Linked DNA regions of Daphnia pulex. The protein of the gene in region 1 purifies or fractionates together with the protein of each later gene. This does not show direct contact. Links are inferred from orthologs where the notes say so. Each region holds a gene or a part of one and is shown on either strand. Other genes may lie near its edges.

Region 1 (4,520 bases):
ACTCATCTTTTCCCTTGTTTTATCTCTCAATAACTGGGCAGCAAACGCCGAATCAAACCGTTGCACGCGCGGATAGGAAATATATAAACAAGACACTTGGCAAACTGCGCAGACGGCGAACCCAACTGGTAACAATCAACTCACACGTGTGTCTCTATAGTGGCCTTGAGTCACGACTGATGTTCGTGTCCCGTATGTGTTGGCCTTTTTCCCCCCTCTCTAGCCGGCGGCTGGTTCACAAATCGATCTCTTATCTCATGAATCGATTCTTTCACGTTATATTCTTTTTCTATTCTCTTTCCAGATTGTGAACGCGACGTAGTGTGTAACCCAACAAGATTATGGAAGCTGTAGAGGATGAAGTCGAAAGTGGAAGTGAGGAAGAGGTCGATAGTGGAAGTGCGGAAGAAGTCGAAAGTGGAAGTGCAGAAGAAGAAGAAGAAGAGGAGGAGGATGAAGAAGAAGAAGCCGTAACAAATCCGGCGGTGGAGCAGCTTCAATCAGAAGTAAAAGAATTGCGTAGGCAGCTGGACGAGATCGAGCGCGAAAAGAAAACGGTAATGAAAAGGACACACGACCTGGAAGACCGTCAAGTGAAGAACTGGAAATTGATTCAGGAGGCGACCAAATTCTCCGGTTTGTTGTTGTTTTGTTTGTATTTAAGAGTAACACAAATTCCAAGTGGAAAATTTGTAATTCATTAATCATTATTTTGTTTTTGTTTTTCCCACGCAGGGGTGTCGGTGGATAAATTGAGCGATAATTCGTGCACGTTCTATTTCCATCCCATGTACAAGTCCGCGTATTATGACGCGTACGCCATGACGGTGAAATTTACCAAGAAAGGTATTTCGAGCGATTAAAATCTAATTTCATTTCTCGATTGGGGTTTCAAACTCTGTTTGGCGTGACGAGTTGCAGGTTATGAAATCGGCAAATGTTATCTACCGGAATCGATAGACGAGCTCGATTTGGATCACACGAAGCCTCTGGAGAAACTCGTTTGGGACATATCCAAGCTGGTCGATTGTTTCACCAATCGGCAGCAGCAAATCGTTGAGCTCGAGGCAAGTTTCCAGTCGAAATTGCATGCCAATATTAACATGTAATCAACTCTTTTCTGGCAGGAATTATTTGGAAAGAATTCCGATCGATCGGTCAATGCTAGTTGCGATACATTGAAAGTGATGGTTCAAGTCAAAGCCTCGGACGAGTCTGACAAAAATTTCAACGTTAGTATCTCGCTCAACTACAAGTCAGATGAAATCCTGCCGTACAATGTCGATTTGGAATTCGAAAGTAAGACAAACAAAGTTGTGCCTGTTGTAATCTAAACTTTAATGATTCATTCCGCATTGTCGAATGTGTCGACACAGAAACACAAGATTTTTCGGACGAGACCATGGCCGATTTCGAACTTCACTGCAATCCGTTTTTCAAACTTCCGCTGCTCAAGGCCTTCCAAGCAGCTTTTTAAATTCAAAAGTAAAATTGCCTTAATTTTTATTTTAACTGAATGAAATAATCCGTTTTTGCTTTTTTAAATTTCGAATGTCAAGTTGTCGTGTTGTTTAATAGATGTCGCTGGAAGAGAGCGACGGAATTTTCGCTTCGTGTCGTGTGTCGACTTTTCACTTTGATAGCGCGCGCCGAGGATGCGCAGAATCGACGACGCCGGCGACGTCTTGAGAGAGAGAGAGTGATCCCTCCCCCTTTCTCCTTTTTCCCCTCTGTCTCTTTTGCCCACCCCACCCCCCTCTCCCGCACCTCTTCAACCGTGAAAGGCACACAGAAATGAACAGGTTTACAGCGTCGGCGGGTAGTTGCGCAGAGTTGCCGACGGGTCAACACGTCCACGTAGCCCGTCAACTCTCTCGTCGCATTTCTCATCCCATCCTCTTATTTTTTTTATTATTATTATTATTTTCTCTTATCTTTGCACATGTTGTCAGTTTTCGTGACGCGATAACTGTAAAATATTAAAAAAACAAACAACAAAAAAGGACAAATTTAAAATTTTGGGTCTGCGTGGATTTCAGTTCCGTTTCGAGTGTTCCGGCGTCCAGTCCTAGAAGAACGGTGTGTGTATTTCGTGTAGTGTGTGTGTGTGTGGTGTGTGTGTGTCCCATTCAGGTGGTGAAGTCAATCCGGCCCGGCCGAAAAAAAGAAAATGCACCTGCATTTCGAGGAGCCCAGCAGCCAACTGCGTTGCGATTCGGTCATCAATTCACTTTCGTGGATGGGACGTGTCCCTGACGAGCAGCCAGAGGTACCATTTTTCACGCAAACTTTTCTTAATTGGTTCCCCAGTTGATTTCGTTTCACACGAGAAGAACCGAAGGCGCGAGAAAAACAAAAAGAAAGAAGGCTCCCCCCTTTCCATCCGAAAAAAAAACTTTTGTTTCCTATTTCTTCTTTTTCGTTCGCCTTTTGTTTCACGCTCAAGTGGAAGAAGGAGAATAAGAAGAAAAAAGAAGAGAAAAGTAGGTTCTCTCCCTTCAACTGTGTTGGCGGGTTATGTGGAGGAGAGGAGGGCAAAGTTCCGATCAATACAACGGACCGCGCACACGAGCCCAGCACATACTACACACTCGGTGTGTGTATATAAATGGCTCTATACAAGGACGGTCGATTGAAAGATGGGGTGGACATTTGAGAAGGGGGGGGGGGATGGCCTAGGATTATTATTATAGAGGGGGAAAAAATGATGATGACTTTATCGTACATATAGAAAAATAACATGTGCAAAAGCTCGATCCTTATTTTGGTGTGTGGGGGGTTTCTTCTCGCCATTGCAGCTATTTTTTGACAGACATGTATAAATAGTGTTATTGATTTTCGTCATTAAGACGTTGATTGAACGTGTCTGGTTGAGCGTGACTGGATTGCATCCATAGCCAAGAAGAACTCCTCAATCAAGGGGGATATTGTGTTGGGTTTCTCTCTTGATGACGATGATGATCATTTGTGTGTGTGTGTTGACAATTCGATTCGAAATGGAAATATAAAAAAGGGACACGGATGGAAGCTCAACCGAACCAGCTACTATCAAGAGGGCTGGTTAGCGGCTGGTAACAACCGGAGCGTTGTCGGAGTCACGTTCACCAGCACGCTACCTCATCGCGTCAACAGCGGCCTCGGCTCGTTCAATCCGCCGACGGATAATGAAATATCCGGCAGTCTACCGCTTCCGCCGGCTCCTCCGCACCTTCCACTGCCTCCGCGCACGAATTACAACCTCCGTGGACATCGTGCCCAGGTATCATCTAATTGGATTTATTCGTTTTTCTTTTTTAAAAAATTGGATTGAATTCCGGAACTAGCCGGAAGGATCCGTAAAATTTGGTTAAACTTGAAATGTTTAACTCCGTTTTGAATTATGTAGATCAGTTTAGTGAGATGGAACGAGCCGTATCAGAAACTGGCCACGTGCGACGCATCCGGCATCATCTTCGTCTGGATCCGTTACGAGGGCAGATGGTCCATTGAGCTCATCAACGATCGGAACACTCCGGTAATTTCATCCGCCCATATCTCTGGGGCTCTTCTTCTCATTATTTATACTACAATGCTTATAATCTCTCCCGTTTCTCTCTTCTATTTTCGCTCGCCTATCCAATGACGATCATTAATTCACTATTCCGGCGTGAATACATTGATGTATGTAGGTGACCCACTTTTCCTGGTCTCACGACGGTCGCATGGCAGTCATCGCTTACCAGGTAAAGAAACACAACGCAAACAAACAAAAAAATACAGAAATAAAAAAGAGAAGCTCAAAACCAACACCCCAACCCGACCCGTAAAACCAATAAAGTTCATTGTCAATAAATAAAAGTCAACGATGGATGGCCGTCGTAGTATAAGAGAGTGAGGTCTTGGTCGCGACTACGACCCTTTTCTACTTCAATGTTGTTGTTGAGGACCTAACAAGGGCAGTAGATATATAGACCGGGCTCGGGTGATGGGTTGACAGAGAAGCTTTTTACGTAAGTATTGATCATGACGTCAAAGCCTCCTGGATACATGTATGGGGGTTGGGGAGAGAGATCGATAAGAGAGAGAGGGAGAAGGAAAGAGCCGCGTCGCAAATTGGATCACGGTCTCTTCTCGAACAAAAGCCCCCAGAGAGAGAGAGTTAGAGACTTTCTCTCTCTCTTCGTTCACTAATATCTTTTATGTGTACCAATCCTTCTTTTTTTGGTCGAGTTCCTTTTTTTTTCTTTTTCTTTCTCTCGTTGGCTCCTGAGCTCCTGAGTATTAATGGACGTCGTATGTTTCGGTTACCTCCCCGTATAACAGGACGGATTTGTTCTCGTTGGTTCGGTGGCTGGACAGCGCTATTGGTCGACGATCCTTAACCAGGAATCCATCATCACCACCGGGACTTGGACACCTGACGATCAACAGGTTTTTCTTTTTATTTTCTGATTTTTGTTTATTTTGGATTAAATTATCATCGTCGAATCCAACAGGTTTATCTGGGCACGTCGAGTGGATCAATCGTCGTTTTGGATGTG
Region 2 (4,320 bases), on another chromosome or scaffold:
CCTGTCGTGAGATGGGTCCATGATACCAGTCCTCTTTTCTGGTGAACGGAAATGGAGGTTTGTAGGACTCTGTGATAAAACAGACCAATTTAAGGAAATCCATCAGCTTTGAAATAATGTGATCCATACCTAATCGTCGTGCGCATTGATAGAAACCATTTTTTCTAGCTAAGTCAGCGGGAGTTTGATCTTCTTTAGTGCGTGACAATGGTGTTACAGACATTGCCATCATGATTTTCACACAATCGAGATGTCCTCGACTAGCAGCCTCGTGAAGGGGAACCATTCCGGTCAAACGGTGTCGGATTTGAGGGCTAGCTTTGAACTCCAGCAAAGTCTTTAAGCATTCGTGATGATTGTGTATACAAGCATACTAAACAATTCAAGAGAGGTTAATCATTAAATAAGCTACAGGGAAGGGTATTAATAAATGATTTAACTACTGTTATTAATTACATGTAGTGGAGTGAGGTCTGCATCATCCTTAACATTGACATTTCCTCCTCCTTGGATAAGAAGTTTAAGAATCATATTATTCCCCAAAAAGGCAGCTAAATGGATTGCAGTCTGTCCAATTTCGTTCTTAGCGTCGATACTCCTGTAGGAGCCACCTCGAAGTAATTCTGATACTACAGTTAGGTTGCCTGTTGAATAATTGGTAGTGACCTTGATACTTGATACTAAGGGAATCTCAGACAGATGAAAAATGCTTGGCAATCACCTTCTTTGGTAGCTCTATGCAATAGATTACATCTTCCATGACACCTTGTATCAACAGGTGGCAAATCTTTTTTGCAAGGTCGGTTAAGTGGTCCAAAAATAGAAGAGCCCTCTTTCTGACAAAGAGTAATGAGAGCATCAAGGCCATGAACAATGTATCCATCTTCTGCAAGGGGACAAAAAATTTATAATGAATGTAAATTAATGTAAAAAAATGCTTCAATGGCAAACCAATTGAAAAAAATGCATCAGCCCCATGTCGATTTATTTGGTAATGCCTGGGCTCTCCTTGGTGACGAACACTTAATATGAAAGCTCCATCAACTGTGGGGCTCTCTCTCACCAAAAATAGTCCTTCAGAGTCATCTTCTGCAGGCATAAATATGGAAAAATAAGATCACAATTTTAATAGATAGGCTACAAAAAAAAATATTATTTTAAACAGACCATTAGTAAGTAGAGCTTCAGCCTCTTGCCTGTTGATTTTCCCATGAAACCACCTTAGGTCTTGGTCAGTTTCGTCTCTTGAAGGTCGTCGAGACATGGTATTGAAATTCATTTATAAAGGTTAAAAGAGCTAGATTAAAAGTCAAAATTTTTCTTCATGTTATTTTTATCAGAGAGTAGTCAAAGGGAGTTCCTTCCTGTCAGTGGCTGAACCAAAATTGAACCGAATATGCACTTGTGATTATAAGTCAGCTGAGCGAGCGCCGAGCGGGCTAGCAGACGACATAAACAATATCTCAGCATACAATTCTGAGAGCTCCTTTGCTGTGGTTTTCAATTTTTTACTGGCCCAAAATTCTGTGTTCATAATTCATATAGCTAAAAGTAAGCTTATTTTACCCATTCTTATCTTTTGATTATGTACCTGCATTCTATTGTGTATAGTTGTCAATCATATCCAATCAAACCTTAATGCAACTATTGCTTTCACTTCAATATGTCAGTCAATGTTAAAAATCATGTTAAATGTTTTTGTTTATTTTTTTACAGGTTTTTTTATTCTACTGCAGAAAATGGCAGATGATATTGATATGGAGAAATCAGTGGAAAAAACCACAGTTGGTAATGACTGTGTAGTCAAAACTGAAAAGATGTTCTCATTGAAACGGTGGAATGCAGTTGCTATGTGGAGCTGGGACGTTGAGTGTGAAATTTGTGCCATTTGCAGAGTTCAAGTTATGGGTAAGTCCCAATTTCAATATGTTTGTTAAGAAGGGTTAGAGACAAGAACTATTTTAAAGGAAAATGTTTAAAATTTATTTGTGGTTCTGGTATATTTACATTTCACAAAATATTCAGAAATTATCTGGTTTTCACATTTTCAACTAAATACTAAAGGGGTGGGGTGTCGGCAAGGTTGTAGTTATGGGGGTTGATGAGAAGTTTACCATTTTACAATGTTCTGTACCCTGCCTGATGTAGTAATGTACATAAATATTTTGGAAGATAAAACAATTAGAAAAGATTCGTAGTCTGCTGGGTATTAGGAGAAACAGTCGTATTTATAAATAACGAATCCTAATTGTTCTATTCCTAATTATAAGGCTATCTTTAAACTTTCCTGGGAAGAAATAAGGTAGAACAGAACAGATCATTCAGAGATTTGAGGAATTGAAGACATCATTTGATTAAAGAAAGGAATAGTCTTATGTACAAAAACATTGTCCGCACTGTTAAGACGTCCAACGTTGAAAAATAATTGGTCGCCTTTACAGCCTAGTAGATTCGATATCTTTTTTCGGTTTCTTTTCAAGCATACTTTTCTCGATACTCTCCAAACTGTGTCCCTTGGTCTCTGGTACGAAGAAGATAACGAAAAAGATGCTGATAAAGCAGAAGAAACCAAAAAACCAGAACGCTCCATGGGCGCCGATCGTCGCTATCAGGTCGTTGAAGAATTTAGTTACTGCGAAGCTGCAAGCCCAGTTGAAAGCTGTAGCTACAGATGCAGCGTGACCACGAACCTTGCTTGGGAAAATTTCTCCCATCTAAATTAGCCAAATAGAAATTTTGTTAGGATTGAATTTTTTTCAAACAGCCATCACATTTTAATAACGTACCATAAGCCAAGGGATAGGTCCATAACCGATGGAAAAGGCGACGATGTAGACTATGAATGTAGTCAGTGGAAGCCAACCGACGTGTTCGAGATCATGTTCAAGGTGTTGCAGAATGAAGAAGACTCCCAATGCGCCGAGGCTGATTGCCATAAAGAATCCGGATATGTTGAGTAAAACTTTACGGCCTACTCGGTCGATGACCATATTTGAGCCCAGTGTAGCCATAAAGTTAGCCAACCCAATAATGATGGAAGAGAGGTTGCTATCTACACTTCCGCCAGATTTTTCAAAAATAGACACGGTGTAAAAGATGACCGCGTTGATGCCAGAAAGTTGCTGAAAGAACATGAGTCCGAGTGAAATGAGTAGGGGCCGTAGGTAGGCAATTTTCAAAAGTTCTCTGGCTCCACCACCGACGCTCTGATTCTTGTAATTGTTTTCAATTTCGAGAAACTCGTCTTGAACGTTAGTTTTGCCCCCACGGAGCCACTGTAGAGATTCGCGAGCTTCGGTATAACGGCCTTTAGAGATGTACCAACGTGGTGTTTCCGGAATGAACCACATGAAAGCTAAAAAGGGTAGAGGAAGAGCTGCTCCGATGGCCGCCAATACTTTCCAGTCGATGTAGGAGCCCAGAATGTAGCAAAACAAGATGCCTATGTTGCCTATCGTGGTGGGCAACAGGCCCAGCGATCCTCTGACCTCCGGTTGAATAGTTTCACCCAAGTAGATGGGCAGCGTCAAGGTAGTAAGGCCCACGCAAAATCCCTGGATTGAACGTCCGGCGTAGACCATGGGCAGGTTTGTAGCAAACGTGATGAGTAACCAAGCTAGATGAAGAAAGCAAATATTAATATTTTGAATTCAATGACACTGTTGCGTTACTTACACAAAATGTATGGTGGCCCGGTAGCCATGATGGTCGTCTTCCGGCCAAAATGCTCGACAATACTTCCACCGACAATGCCACCGATTAGAGCGTTAAGCGGCATTAAGCTCCCGATCCATGACGCCTAAGAATTGAATGATTTCCAGTTAGTTTTTGTTTGGTATTAGGGATTTTAGTCTAGTTACTAACCTCTTGGTCGTTTACGGGAATAGAACTGTTGGGTTGTGTCATAGAAGCTAGGGCAGGAGAAGTATAGCCAGATGAGTACCCCTCGATCAAAGCTGCTATGGCCAGGGCCAGCGAAGCCAACACTTGAGGGAAAAGCCTTCCACGACTTTTGCGACTTGCGGGTTCCATTTTAAATGAAGGATCTGGGAACGTAATGATCTGTGAGACATTGGACAGCCTATCGTTGTCTTTATTTTCGTCGGGATTTTCCATTGCCATATTGTCTTCTTCTTTCGAGTCAGCTGGCATGATTGGATTCAGAGCAATCAACGATTCGCTGACGACCATTGAAGTGGAAGGTATAGCTAACGGGTCTTTTGAATCGGAATTGTTGAGTCGAGCTTGAGCCAACGTTTCAGCCAGCTGTTGGTAAACTACGGAAGTTTGATCGACAGTGGCTTCGCAGCTGGAACAGGA

Evidence for each region.
Region 2: the proteins of tubby-related protein 4-like (region 1) and RING-box protein 2-like purify together in Homo sapiens (co-immunoprecipitation; 3 studies listed by BioGRID and IntAct, with this or other methods). This does not show direct contact. The link is inferred for Daphnia pulex from reciprocal best matches to the Homo sapiens genes TULP4 and RNF7.

Annotation. Positions count from the first base shown.
Region 1 is NC_060028.1:910,255-914,774, reverse strand, and holds the start of tubby-related protein 4-like, read left to right. Parts: upstream 1-1,608; 5' UTR 1,609-2,170; coding exon 2,171-2,269; intron 2,270-3,013; coding exon 3,014-3,259; intron 3,260-3,385; coding exon 3,386-3,514; intron 3,515-3,668; coding exon 3,669-3,722; intron 3,723-4,302; coding exon 4,303-4,410; intron 4,411-4,475; coding exon 4,476-4,520. Other genes in the region: hexokinase-2-like, read right to left, coding at 1-6; uncharacterized protein LOC124208674, read left to right, coding at 342-636, 736-846, 922-1,067, 1,128-1,299, 1,377-1,477. UniProt on the Homo sapiens protein: May be a substrate-recognition component of a SCF-like ECS (Elongin-Cullin-SOCS-box protein) E3 ubiquitin ligase complex which mediates the ubiquitination and subsequent proteasomal degradation of target proteins.
Region 2 is NC_060024.1:9,938,688-9,943,007, reverse strand, and holds the start of RING-box protein 2-like, read left to right. Parts: upstream 1-1,438; 5' UTR 1,439-1,551; intron 1,552-1,716; 5' UTR 1,717-1,739; coding exon 1,740-1,908; exon of another isoform or gene 1,909-2,435; coding exon of another isoform or gene 2,436-2,714; intron 2,715-2,786; coding exon of another isoform or gene 2,787-3,616; intron 3,617-3,675; coding exon of another isoform or gene 3,676-3,799; intron 3,800-3,864; coding exon of another isoform or gene 3,865-4,320. Other genes in the region: tyrosine-protein kinase Shark-like, read right to left, coding at 1-69, 130-373, 457-644, 722-886, 952-1,089, 1,168-1,279; facilitated trehalose transporter Tret1-2 homolog, read right to left, coding at 2,436-2,714, 2,787-3,616, 3,676-3,799, 3,865-4,320. UniProt on the Homo sapiens protein: Catalytic component of multiple cullin-5-RING E3 ubiquitin-protein ligase complexes (ECS complexes), which mediate the ubiquitination and subsequent proteasomal degradation of target proteins.